2 linked regions of the Lytechinus pictus genome follow. Each later gene encodes a partner of the first gene's protein in a complex. Links are inferred from orthologs where the notes say so. Each region holds a gene or a part of one and is shown on either strand. Other genes may lie near its edges.

Region 1 (7,613 bases):
AGCATCATTTAGAGCTCATCAAGACCTTTCATTTAACACCCTATTCATCTCAATAGCCCCAGTAGCCTCAACAGCTGCCATAAACATTCAACTACGTAAAAACACTTCAGGCTCAGCCACAACATTGCCTTGGCTTCACTCACACGTATTGCAAGGTAAGTATGCTATACTAACCTTGCACTACGAACGTGTTTACGCAATGGATTTTAGAGATGTCAGTTAACATCGCTTCATAACACAAATAATGTTAGCCGAAACTCATTCAGCTACTCACCAGGGCTTTTTTTTGTTGAAAAGCGTTCTATTTTCAATTTTAAAAATATTTTAAATATAAAAAGCACATAAAAAAGAGCAAACTCGCTAACCTCGGCCTGGAAAGTGGCTTCGCATGTCTCTTCCACGGAAATGAAAGGAAGGTCGTTACTGGCGCTAATACAATTCACAACCTTAATTCAGCTTGTCAGTATTTTTAAACTAGATCCTTGATTTATTGTATGCGCATTTCCTATGATTGTTTGATAAAATAGAGACACACATTGGACACTTTGCCGACTTCACGTAACGCTTGCATCGACTTTACGTGTAATACAGTTTTTGTGCCTAGTCAAAACTGTTTTTGTGCAAATAGTCTAAATCAGTTCAAATCCAGACTTGAAAAATTTTGGCACAACCATCCTCTGAAGTACAGACCTTACCAAAGATAAGAAAATCAACGAGTAGCACATAAGCAGATTGCTTTACATCTCAACATCCAAGTAAATCCAAGTAGTCTTTCCCTTAAATTAATTAATTAATTGTAGTGTCTTTGATATGAGGATAAATCGCGCGCCCTCTCTAGCTAATTAGACGGAAAAATATTTGGGAAATAGAAGCAAGCTCCGTATTTTGTCAACGAGAAGAAAAATCAATGCTTAAATTGACGCTATTTGAGGGATATTCATCATATTACATGCATTAGGGGGAATTGACTTCCATGACATGCATCGTTCGGTAAGTTTCATAGGATTTGATTTTATGAATCATCTTCTGAAATTTGCAGGAGTTTGTTGCAATTTTGCATGCGCCTTGCCTTCATTTTTCCTGTACACCCAGTTGGACGATCAATTTTAGAAAGTCATTTGGAAAAATTTACAAGCGAAGTTTCAGCAATTTTTAGTACAAAATGTTACTGTTAGGAAATATTATAAAGAACAAAATAGAAGATGACTACAATTTAGATTAAATTCATATTCTTAGTGTAATCCAAACAAAGACAAAAAAGAAGGCTTCAAAAATATAAAGTGTCCGGACACCCGACCCCCATCCTACATGGCGGCAGTAATGCACCCATGGCATGGGTGCCTTGGGCTTGGCTTTTGCCCTGCCCCTGGCTTGGCCTTGCCACATCGCCATCGGGAATTTTAAGCTCCATTATTTTCAGTTCACTTTCAGCATCGATCGATCTTGTTCTTAATCTTTATTCTTAGTCATGTTAGTCTTCTTCTTCTTCAAGCTACACTGCCTCCTTCAATCCTGAAGATTCTTGCAGTATTGTAGTACCGGGGACCGGCAGGTGCAATACACCGGGTGAACACCCTACTCTTTGACGAATAGTGTATTGGTTTTAACGTGAATAGGTTGTGACTCTCCTATAGTAGCTATACACGGGACCAACATTTGCGTCCTTTCCGATGGACGGAGTGTTTTCCAACTGCATTCACACCCGCACTGAACACAGCGGTGAGGCACGTTAACACACAACGCTAGCATCAGTTTTTTTGTAAGACGTCTTCCGGCATGCTGCGGGACTCGAACCCACGCACGTTGAGATCTACGAGTACGATCTTATCCGGAACAGGCGCTCTAAGACCAAGTCTAAGACCTAAGTTTCTAATCTAAGTATGGTTGGAACTACCCCTTATCGACCACCTAATCTTCTCAGCATCGTATCTGCGAAAATATTCATCAATTTTACCCAGTTTTAGTCCCATTTGTGCAGAAAATTGAGCAGATCAGATTCCCATGTTTCGCTCGGCGACTCCGATTCAATCCGCGTATATATCGACGAACAACGAATACAACGATTTTACATTTGCTCATTTGCACCCGTCTTTTGAAACCGACCACCCGCGATACACTAAGTTTACGGCCGATTCTTGTCGCGGTGGCGAAATATTTTTACTCTTCCAAATCAGTTCTATGATGTCAACATGCTAAATGATCGTCTCACTACTTCCACTGCGAGCTCCGGCACATGATTCGACGATTGACGACGGATATTTGTTCTAAAGCCGTTTCCTATCGGACTTCTTGGTTTTTCAGCGGGAATTGGGTCTGGTCAATACAATTTTGATTAATTCTACTAAATTTTTACTTTTTGTTGCTTCTTTTTTTCTCGTAAAATCGATTCTTACCGTTTCTATGGACACTGCGCCTACTCTCCCGCGCGTATCGTTTGTAATACGCAATAATTTTAACGCGCGCAAGGTGGTCGGTTTCAAAAGAGGTGGTCGATATGTGGTAGTCTCACCATATAGTAACTAGTGAGTCACTAGTCTAACCGACCGAGTCTGACTCTGAGCTACACTGCCTCCCATCTCAGTCGGTCTCAGTAGGACTTCATCTTCACAGTATTATTTTTTATTATTGACTGAAGTAAGTGATCAAAATTTATGCAAACGTGCAAGTCAAGTCAAAGGTAGAAAAAAAAAACGGTCGAATCGAAACACAGAAACGTGATTGCCCCTACGCCCTATATGCATAAGAATCGCACGCACGGGCATGACGGGTTGAGCTGGTGTATGGACCGGATACGGACTACACAACACGGCGTTAGTTTACTTTAAAAAAAAATATTTTAAGTTCAAGTTTATGCAGGTAAGCAACGATAAATTTGTCATGTAAACCTATATAATCTTGGCTCACCTTATCAAAAGGACTTCAATTCAAGCCGGGTGAGACAGTGATTGTCCAGTGATTTTTTTAACGACAACTCTTCTCATGGGTCCACTGCGCTGCCAGAAGAAAAGTATATTTCACGTTATATTAGACCAACGAACGTAGAGGGCAGCAACACACAAGCGTGTTGCTCTATCTAGCTAAGGAAGGTCAACTCCGCTCGAATTTTGTGACCACTCTAAAAAATAAGGTGGGGTTTTGGGAAATTTGTCGAGTTGATTTTTTTTCATTTGATAATTTCAAATATTTTTAATGAACAATTATTAGATCGCTTATTCTGGGTATAAATATTAAAAATATTATTCTTATTTTTAAAGAAAATATTTAGCTTCAATAATCATGATTTTGACATTTTTCCTCATTTTGGAATATTAAGTCTATGACGAGGATACCCCTAATCTGTTATTTTCTTCTGCTGAATTTCGCTGCACCACTAATAAATGCATAGACAACCACCGTAATAATCGAGGTCATTTTTCCGGCCTGGGTGCGCCGAGTCTGGGCCGGTCGCGCAGCTAGCTATAGTGACGTTGATGATGCGCTGGGGCTTCAGGCGACTCGTCATAGATCTTCTAGCAACATAGACAATGACGTCTAATTTGCCTGGCCTGATTTGAAGTGTAATGGCTTCAGGGCTGATGTTAATCAACGATGATTGTTCAAGGTTAGATTTCAAATTTTAATTGTCATTTGACTTTTAAGTCTATAAATCTGAAATAAAGGCGCTGTATCCCCGAAATCCGGGTCTAAATTTCAACTCCGAGTCCGAGACCATGGCATGGACGTCGAAAAACAACAACCCACGCATCGGATGCATTGCATTGGCTGCGCGCTGCGCTGCAGCTGCACTGTGATGATGGATTCAGCGAAGAGCTCAGAGAAAATAAGGTGGTCATATTCAATCCCGAAATGCTTTGCGAGTGGTCACAAAATCGTCTCGACGCAAATCACCTAAAGGCCACCGCACACCTTACGACTGTCCGCGATCCGATTTTGGAACAAATCGCATTTTGCTCATTTTCTGAAAATGTGAATGGAACATATCATTTAATTTGAGGTTTAAATTAATTGAAAGAATACTAATATAACCATTTTGAAAGATTGCAAGCCTTTATTTCTGAGTAAAGGCCAAATTAGTTTCAAATCGTAGCCAATCGTACGACTGCTATGACGTCATTACGACTAGATATTAAATTCGCTTTTATTCTAAGAAGGATGATAGCATAGTCACAGATTTGAACATAGGTATTCGTACGATGATTTAGAACATTACACAGTAAGATATTCCAAATCTCAATGTTAGCATCAAATTCTACTACATTTCATTCTGAAATCGGGTCGCAGACCAATCGTAAGGTGTGCGGTCGCCTTAATACAGCCGTCTGGTGAAATCGCTGATAACAACAATCACCGATTTGGTAATGATTTAGTTTCTAAAACTTATATTTGTAAAGTTTTAAATATCAACGTATGTTTTCAAATGTACGTATATTCTCCAACATAATTTTTTAATGTTATCTTTGATATCGTTGTAGTCATATTCTTTCATATTGTTTTCGTGATCGCTACTAATTTGTTGTTGTATTGGATCGGCGTATGATTTCGTTGGCATAAATGATAAAATATGCGCGTACCTCAGCTGCATGCGCGTATTGAGTTGACCTTCCTTAGAGCAACACGCTTGTGTGTTGCTGCCCTCTACGTTCGTTGTAATAGACGTAGACAAACGAACGTAGAGGGCAGCAACACACAAACGTGTTGCTCTATCTAGCTAAGGAAGGTCAACTCCGCTCGAATTTTGTGACCACTCTAAAAAATAAGGTGGGGTTTTGGGAAATTTGTCGAGTTGATTTTTTTTCATTTGTTAATTTCAAATATTTTTTAATGAACAATTATTAGATCGGTTATTCTGCAGATCATCCGAAAAATCAAGATGAACAAAAACATATAAACATTTAAAAGAAATACATAGACGTATACAGGGGCCGCGGAGCGGGGGGGGGGGGGGGGCTTCAGCCCCCCACTTTTTTCCAAAACCGTGTACAAAAACGTAAAAATTACCATATGATTGTGATTTTTGCATGGTCAGCCCCCCCCCCCCCACTTTGAAAACCGTTCCGCGGCCCCTGGTATAGGCCTATCACCAGAAAGACTATAATATATAGTCGCATTCACCTGTGTGCAAGAACATCACAATTCCCTTATCAAAATGTGCTTATCAAGAGTGTACAAAATAATAAAATTATACGTCCCTAACAATTAAGAGGGATATATTATGATATAAATTGTTCCTTTTCTTCTTGTTCTGGCCATGACTTTAAATCATATTTGTCTATTAATAATCAAACTGCATATTTCAGACCTATTTCAAGCACTGAAATAATTAATATTGTTATTGTTAAATACAAGTCCAAGCTATAATGGTATATATAGTATAGAAATGTCGGTCATTAAAAAAAAACTATTTTGATCAGCAGTGAGCCATTAAGTGCATTATTTAATAAGTGTTTTGAATTGGGATCATTTCCATGTCAACTACAGATTGCAAAAGTTATTCCAGTTCATAAAAAAAGGGTCCTTCTGAAATTATGTCTAATTATCGACCTATCTCATGCAGTATACAAGCTATCTTTTCTAAAATATTAGAAAAATGTATCTATCTATAACCGATTGTTAAATTTTATCATAAAGTGCAATGTATTGAACCCTACTAATGATATGGTTTTAGCCAGGATATTCCACATCTGCTTTATTGGTAAATTTTATTCAGAAAGTTACTCGTGCATGCAATAGATGATGAAGAAATTATGATTGCTTGTTTATAGATCTCAGCTGAGCTTTCGGTAAGATCGACCATTTTATTTTATTAGAAAAAACTAAACTCTTATGGAATTAAAGGAATCACATTGGATCTTTTCAAAAGTTATTTAGGTAATCGCAAACAATGTAGTGATAAGTTTTATCTTAATATTGCAAAATGCGGAATTTCGCAGGGTTCAATACTCGGCCCTCTATTGTTTTTATTGTACATGATTTCTGTATTAAAAGGCCTCTGACCAGTGGCATACCTAGGATTTTCCACAGGGGGGGGCAAAACCGTCCGCCCAAAAATTTAACAAGCAAAAAAAAAAAAAAAAAAAAAAAAAAAAAGGTCTTCAAGTCAGGGGGCATTGAAGGACTTAAAGCTCGTCAGAGGGGCAAAAAAGGTTTTTCAAGCCCGTCAGGGAGGGCAAAGATACGTTTTTGCATGGGTTGTGACTCGTCAGGGGGGCAGAGTGCCCCCCCTGCCCCCCCCCCCCCCGTAGGTACGCTAGTGCCTCTGACCTTTTAAAATGTATTCTAGTTGGCTTCACCACCTTTCTCTAGCTCATCTTTCATGATCATCGAGAAACGCAACCCGGATTAAAACCAACTGGTGTACGTATTTCCGTGGTGTGAACGGGTGCTTTACCTTCCTTCCTGGTTTTCTCCCTCCGCTGCTTTCGGAGATCAGCCCTATGAAGGCAATAGTATCCATAATAAATAACCATCCAGGGTTAAGAGTAGACAGGACAAGTCGTATACCGTTACCGTATAGCAGACGCTCTTGACTTTCATGATTGATGTGCTAACGAAGCGACTGGCGAATGACCGGATAAAATGTCTGTTACTCGATTATGGTAAGTAATTTCGATGATTATTTGTATCTGCAAAACTTTTGATGCATTTTGATGTATTTGCAGTAGTTTGCATTCAAATTAAGCCCAGAAAAATAGTATAAATCATGTTATGCCCGCTGGGAAGCCCAGTCCCATACGTTTAAAATTGTGTTTCCTTTTCCATATTTTGGAGTGTCGCGGCACTCGCACGTATTGCGAGGTTAGTTAGTATACTAACGCCCGTAACGGTAACAATTTGTTTAACAAACGTTGCGAATGTAATTATGAATGATGCTATGATTAATGTTTGGCCTTAACATGTGTTTTAGTTAAACATATGTGTAAGTACGATGTTATGGATGTCTGAAAACGCTAAACGTTACATCTGCATCTTAAACTCAGTCTCAGTCTCAGATTAATTTTTCTAAGACTAAGTCTAGACAAGGCCTGGCTTAGGGAAGTTCACCCTGAAAAGTTCATTGTAAAAATAGCAGAAAAAATAATTATAAAAATCTTGGCGAAGGTTTTAGGAAAATCCATCAGAATAAAAATTGATTAGAATTGTTATTATCTGGTTTGTGACGTCATTTGCGAGCAGCTTTCCTACATATCGTATGGTAATTAAAATTTTTTTAAAAGGTCATGGGAAGATGCAGTGTCAAATAAACTTGAGGATCTGGGAAGATCACTGACAGAGATGACAGATCCTGACCAAGCTTGCAAAGATTTCACAGATACCATACAAACCCTGGCAGCTGAAAAGATTCCTCGAAAAAGGATATGTAGACATAGCAAGCCTTTCTGGAATTCTAAAATGTCTGAGCTCCTCAAGCTTTGCAAGCTCTCCAAGAAGACGTACAAGAGAAGGAGAACACCTAACAACTTTACTATCCATCAAGGAAATGTATCAGAGTTCATGGTGGAGTACAAGAAGGCCTTTCAAGAGTGGCAGCTTGAGAAATGCGAGCAACTAAAAGAGAATTGTGAGAACCCATGGAGAACTATCAACAAATTACTGAATGGAGGTACCTCTGCTCC
Region 2 (7,060 bases), about 19 Mb from region 1:
TTTTGATGAAATTTTCAGCATTTTGCTCAGTGAATTCTACTCTATGTATTAAATTATAAATATTTTCAGCCCGGACCATCCCTTTAAATACATGGATTTTCATGTTTAAATTTCACAAAGCCACCCTTCCAGAAAATTTCTCCCCAATCTTTCAAACTCTCAAATTCATAATTACCCTACTAGACAACATATCAACTTACGTATTCCTTTTTCTAAAATTAATTTTATTCGTAATTCGATCAGATATATCGGGGTGAAAGAATGGAATTCTCTCACATATGATATCAAAAAACAGCACAACATTCGCGATTTAAGTCACTATCAAAGTCATTTTTTGTTCAATTATTTAAACAACTCCAATCCCCCCATGTAATTGTATTTTATCATTTTTTTTCTTGTCTTATCTTCTATTCTATCTTCTGTGTTGTTTTTGCATTGTGTGATGATGTGTGGGTGTGTGTGTTTATTCATAACCTTTTTTTTACCCATTATATTTTGTATTATTTTGTTGGTATCATGTTATTTCTGTAAATATTTTGATGTTTTTTTTAATGGTCAATAAATTGAAATTGAAATTAGGTTTCAATTGTTATGATACATTGTATTCTCCATCTTTTGTGTATTTTGTGCATTTGAAAGCCAATTTCTTTGTAAGCTTGCATGAATGCATCAACCAATTAAATATAATTGAATCCTGAATCTAATATCTGAAAAATGTTTTCGCCCATCCGATAAAAAAGTCTGGAGTATTGTGACCCAGAAGCAAATTACATGAAAGGGTGTAGCCTAGACCTACTTTGCATCATTCATAAAGGAACTTTTTCACATTGAAACACCTTTCCATTCTTTGATTCTTATTTGCTTTCCATACAAACAACTATTAATATATATATTATTCCAAATACAAATATAAATCAGATACAAATTAAGGGATCAACATTTTAAAGAAAAGCAGTACAAAAATTGAGCCTAGCATTAGGCTACAAAGAAAACAAAAAAATTGTTAATAGGAATAATAGTGTAAAGTCAGTAGTCTAGTGAGTCTACAGTCTAGAGAACGCGCGCATCACTCATATAACCTAATAGGATCTTCTGCCCAGAGTCTGATTATGGGGAACAAAAGAGCTCAACGTCCCAAACTTAAAGGATGCGTCAGAGTATAATTTCATACCCTCAAAACTTTGCAACATCATTCTAAAGAGAAATTGAATAGAAAGATGATGAAAATTGTCCAAAATACATTTTCAAAGTCTTTTGTCAGATCTAGATCTTTATTCTCAAACTCATACAATATTTTAAAAATAATTAGCTCAACAGCGATTTTGTTGCTTTCTCAACTTCACCCATAGAAAACAGTATGTTCAGTAGTAGATTTCAGTTCACATGGCGACATGCAAAGCCGAGGACTGTGAAGAGGGGTCCAATTGCCTTGGCTTAGATGCTGATAGCGTAAAAAAGAAAACGATTTTGGAAAAATTTTTACATAGGTTCTAGATTATTTATAACTTAGGTATTCATGCATTTATGGTGAAAGTTTGGTGAATTTTATAAGAATATTTGGTTTGATATGATTGAATTCATGAAAAGCAATCGGTAATAATACGATCCACTAGTATGAAGGGGAGCCCCATGTCTGCGCACCTAAAACTTTAACTTAAGATTAAAGTTAAACATGAATTTTATTCCACAAAAGTTTTCAGTTGATGTTGTTCCTTATCTATATTCTTAATGGGTACCGTAAGCCAAAAATCTCGTGAAAATTTGAAAAAAATATATATGATTTTCTATTAAATTCTTGGAAAAACCCTCGGACAGTCATTTTCAGATTGAACAAAAGAAGGTGCCCCTTGACTTGTCCGCGCACCCATTTACTTTAACGTTACACACGATTTTGATGATAAAGTAAAAAAGGCTGCATTTTGAGGCCGTGACCCCAGTGTGACATTGAAATGCCTGAAATCTGAATTCAATATTTTTCCACCATTTTGAGTCGGATTTTTTAATGAACACGCCTATCTGTGTATGTATTTCAGGGGTGTAGATTCTATATTTTGTGGTCTTTGGTATCTTCTTTTTATTAAAGCCTAAAGGGCACTGAACAGTCTTGGGGCACCTTGCCACTATTACTATAAAACGTCCACGTCCTTGACGCGGACGCCGTCATACTCAGTCATAGCCCTAACCCAGGGAGCGCCCGCGCAGCGGGCAGGAGCCCAGGGGCTTACCGTGTATTTTACCATAGTCACCGGACTAGGGTGATTTATGGTCTAAATATTTCTCCAAATGAATTGTGAAAACAGAAAGTATACAATTACCACGATTATATGGATGAAGGTCTAACGAGTGGCAGTTTCCTGACATCTGGGCACAGACTTGAACCTCAAAAAAACGAAAAGTTCTCTCCTTCTACCCCCGTCTCGATCGGCCATTTTTGTTAAAAATCGTAACAAAATGGCCGATCGAGACTGGGGACTGGGGTAGAGGAGAGAACTTTTCGTTTTTTTGAGGTTCCAGTCTGTGCCCAGATGTCCGGAAACTGCCACTCGTTAGACCTTCATCCATATAATTGTGGTATACTTTCTGTTTTCACAATTCATTTGGAGAAATATTTAGACCATAAATCACCCTAGGCCTAGTCCGGTGACTATGGTCAAATACACGGTAAGCTCCTGCCAGTCCTGGGCTCCCTCCCGCTGCGCGGGCGGGAGCTCCCTGGGTTATCATAGCTCCTGCCCGGCCCCACCGCGCCCCATGGCATGGGGCCCGCGAGTGCAAATCGTCATAGTCCATGGACATGGTCCCACTGCCACTGCACTGGATGTGCCCGATTCTTCAAGATATTTTTGACTTATAGTTTATTTCTTACTCATTTTCATTTACAATACTCACTATATGCAAATTCCAGCATCTGATTTATCACTCTTGGCTCGTAATCTGTCACTCCCATATCTTTCAAAATAGCTGTCATAATTTCGGCATCGCGGGGCTGGGTTTTGTTGGAACTAGCCATCTTGACAAAAGCTGTATAACTTATTGTCGTAGATGGCAGCAAAGCAATCGATTTTGATTTGATCGACCAGTGACGTGATCATCCACCTCGATCACAAACCGCAAAATATTTGTTTAATAAACTCAAATGAATAGAATAATGGTAAGGATAAGGATTAAAATAATAATGATAATCAGGGGCGTAGACAACGGGGGGGATGAGGGGGATGCATCCCCCCCACCTCACAAGGTGGGGGGGATGGCATGTACAATCATCCCCCCCAGGTTTTGGGGAATGATATTTGGTTACTTAATAAGTCATAATGATGATAATAATAGTAATAATAATAATGATAACAATTATAATATTAATAATAATAATAATTATGATGATGATAATAATAATCCTCATCATTATTGTAATTGTGTTTATTGTTATTAGCCGCATTCACACGGTGAAAGCCAATTCAGACGGTAAAAAAAAGAAAATCTTACAAGTATTTACTGGGCAGGAACGAAAAGAGGCGCAAGATATTTGGTTTCTAAGACACAAATTTGCAAGACTACAAAAGTAAAACTGACTAAGAGACCGATATGTTTGTTTGTTGAGCCATGAATGCTCCTTAAGTAAGTTTACCAACTTACCGCATGTCTCTATTATCTGATTAGCAACTGTTAATCAAGCTGTTTTTGGTATGGGAATGAAGCAACAACTTTTTTTCTTTTCATCGAGACTACTTTTCAGGCACGAACCGAGTACTAGCAATACCTTCTCATATATGATATGTATTATATTTATTTATTTATTTATTAGTTTATATCAGATTATATTACAGGTATATGATATTTATACATATATATATACATTATATGCATTTATTTATTTATTTATTTATATATTTATATACACGTTATTTTCTCAAGTCGGTTTTTATTGAAATACATGTGTGGTCTGGCCCACTCGTGTTATAGGCATTATACATTGTGTGTAAAATGCATCAGCGCAATCTAAAACAGAATAGAAAATGAATGTGATACAACAGTATACATAATAATTCGTGACAGAGAGTACCATACTACTATCTTTATAACAAGTATTATTCAAACAAACATATATAATTATGTATAATCATGAATTGTTCAACTTCATGCTCCCACTATATGACTATTGTTACACTAATACTGATATCAGGACTGACTGGTATACATTAGTTTGTTGTTAAGCTTGCAGCAGCTACATCTTTTCTGTATTGTTAACTATTTATTTATTTTTGTTTTATTTAAGATGCACTTTGTTTTGTATTCATTTAAAGTATGTTGATTGATGCATGAAGACATAAGTTTGAAATGTTTAAAGAAGTTTGTTTCATGTAAAGCGCAGTGTGAATTTACCCTGTCTTGAAATGCGAGATAAAAGGAACCTATTAGTATTAGCATTATTATTTGTATTAGTATTATTATTTTTTTTTATTATTATTATTATTATTATTATTATTATTATTATTATTATTATTATTACTATTATAAGACTGAGATCAAATAGAAGTAAATAATGCTCTAATTTGAAACGATGCAATGCCGTTATGGTTCCGATTTCTTCACAAACTTACAGAGCAGTATTGTTACTCCATGGATCATAGTGATACTGTTTATGTTTTTTGTATCTGTATGTTAATGAGCCGCCAGCCAATATCCATCTATGGATACTATGCCTGTTTCTTTGAGGTAAAAAAAAGCATAGTATGTACGTATTCATTATGCTTTATAATGAACAGACATATTGTTATTTGTTTGTTGTTTATGTGTTCTATTCACAAATGGCCACAGAGGCTGTTTTCATTCATAACCACATACCCATATCAAGACAACAAAGACTATACCTGCGTGTACACAGTTGACATTGGGTTTTTTTCTGAAGAGGTGTAACAGCAAAATTCACAGAGATAAATAAATACGTAGTGTGGTTCAATATGCAATACTATGTGTCAGTCCATTCTGTATTCGTATGCCACGGTGTGTAGATCTTGTCGATGTATGTCTGTCCATTCAAGGCGTAGTATGTGTGTGGTGCGCGCACCCGTGTGTGTGTGTGTGTGTGTGTGGGGGGGGTGAGTATGTGTGTGTGTGCGTGCGCGCTTGTGTGTGTTATTTTACCTCATTAAGTATGCATCAGATTGCACGATTTCAAGTTCAAAATTGCAAAAGCTCCCTACCGTGGGAGGGGGGACACCCCCCTCCCACACCCTCCCCCCCCCCCCTCGGTAGCTTCGCTCCCTCGCTCGGGCGCTTCGCGCCCTCAACAGCGTTGGCAGCCCAGTCATCCCCCCCTGGTGTACGAACCTGTCTACGCCACTGATGATAATAATAATGATAATAATAACAATAATAATAATAACAATAATAACTATTACTATTATTTGTCAGAGAGTCGATGAGGAAAGGAAAGGATATGACAGCGAAAGCTGAAGGCTGATCCTAGGAAAATGAGATTGGAAGGATGGAAAGAGAAGGTGATGCACGGACAGCATTTAAGGACGTTCCACAGTTAAAGTGAAATCCATGTCATTTTCACCAAACTTTGCACATAGATACTTTAGAACCTTAATATTCGAAATATGCAAAAATTAACATAGGTCCATGTGCTTGATTTTTTGCTATAGAGCTTCAAAGTTCGCGCATTCAAAAGAATTTGGCATTTTTAGACCGCCCAAGATTACTACAATGAGTTTAAACCTCCATTACTCAGTCAAAATACATGAAAAAGTCATCAAATTTCGCAAGAGAATTAATAATTGTATCGTTAGAATTGAGAATCTATTAATAGTGCTATTTGTTTGCAATTTTAAGTTTAACAGCACTGTCAGTTCTTAAAAATTGCGTAAAATATAACAAAATCCCAATCTAAAAAATGTAAAATTTCAGTAACAAACTACAAACGTACAATAAATGCTGCACTTTATTCAAAATCCATGTCATTTTCACCAAAATTTGCAAAGTTGTAGAGGAAGGTATACCTAAGAAGTACAAACATTAAAAAATAGGGGTTCATGTGCTTGTTTATAAACTATCAGCATTTTTATTAGAGCAAATGTGCTTTTTAAAACACCAAAAATGCGTCGAATGCTTTGTATCTATGTGAGGAAAAAATCAAAACCACTCTACCATTTATTCAAACTCGGGGACATATTCGTGATTCTTGGCAGCACTGCAGAGTAAAGTATTTTGAAATTGTAGAGATATTTAAAAAAATGGTCCATGGAATAATTCTATTTTCTTAGCTTCATAAAATAACGCATCGGATCTGCAGTTAGAGTGCAGATGATGAGAAAATTCAGCTCATACTCACAGCTAATTAATCACTTGTTCATCCATTGTGACGTCAGCGCGCAGAGTTTAAAATATGCGCAGATCATAATGCGCACAAACATAACTGTGGAACGTCCATAAGACAGACAGAGGAGTTTGCTGGACCAGAGTTGGCAGAGTTCACCATTAACTAAGGTGCTCAGAAGATCCAGGCTAGGACATGGGCGGAAATCTCTTCCTAAAATTAAGGGGGCCACATTTGAGTTTTCCGTTGTTATGTTCTACAGAGTTACTAACTCAAACACACACACACCATCACACACACATACATACATATATATATATAATTATAATATATATATACATACATACATTTCGAAGAGGAGGTATTCCTGACTAAAGATGAAAGGCCTCTATAAATAATGCGAGCGCGAAGCGCGAGCTGAAAGTTTTTGATTTTGCAACCTAAAAACTGGACATTTGTAACACTTTTTCAAATTATGAACAGGATAGCTAGGAATTACCTAAAAACTGAACATTCGTAAAACTTTTTCATATCATGAACAGAATAGGAATGTAACTAAATAATAGATGCGAGCGCGAGCTTAAGTTTGTAATTTTCCAACCTAAAAACTGTACATTCTTAACAGTTTTATAAAAATCATGAACAGGATAGGAATCTAATAAAATAATGCTCGCGCTTCGCGCTAGCATTATTTTATTAGATTCCTGAAAGTTTTTGATTTTCCAACCTAAAAACTGGACA

Evidence for each region. Proteins that work in one complex are often made in the same cells at the same time.
Region 2: the proteins of transcription initiation factor TFIID subunit 6-like (region 1) and transcription initiation factor TFIID subunit 9-like are in contact, whole or in part, in a crystal structure (PDB 1TAF), measured with the Drosophila melanogaster proteins. The link is inferred for Lytechinus pictus from reciprocal best matches to the Drosophila melanogaster genes Taf6 and Taf9. Residues at the interface, in NP_524161.2 of Drosophila melanogaster: Gly18, Ser19, Ser20, Ile21, Ser22, Glu24, Ser25, Met26, Ile29, Ala30, Ile33, Val35, Ser37, Leu38, Ser39, Asp41, Ala42, Glu45, Leu46, Asp49, Val50, Ser51, Lys53, Leu54, Lys55, Ile57, Val58, Gln59, Ala62, Gln71; in NP_523391.3 of Drosophila melanogaster: Lys20, Asp21, Val24, Ile25, Ser27, Ile28, Leu29, Glu31, Leu32, Val34, Glu36, Tyr37, Glu38, Arg40, Val41, Gln44, Leu45, Phe48, Thr49, Phe50, Tyr52, Val53, Thr54, Ile56, Leu57, Asp58, Lys61, Thr71, Ile72, Asp73.

Annotation. Positions count from the first base shown.
Region 1 is NC_087260.1:23,354,038-23,361,650, reverse strand, and holds the start of transcription initiation factor TFIID subunit 6-like, read right to left. Parts: upstream 3,024-7,613; 5' UTR 2,905-3,023; intron 2,857-2,904; exon of another isoform or gene 2,736-2,856; intron 1-2,735. Other genes in the region: acyl-coenzyme A thioesterase 9, mitochondrial-like, read left to right, coding at 3,561-3,601. UniProt on the Drosophila melanogaster protein: TFIID is a multimeric protein complex that plays a central role in mediating promoter responses to various activators and repressors.
Region 2 is NC_087260.1:4,330,403-4,337,462, forward strand, and holds the start of transcription initiation factor TFIID subunit 9-like, read right to left. Parts: upstream 3,022-7,060; 5' UTR 3,011-3,021; coding exon 2,890-3,010; intron 1-2,889. UniProt on the Drosophila melanogaster protein: TFIID is a multimeric protein complex that plays a central role in mediating promoter responses to various activators and repressors.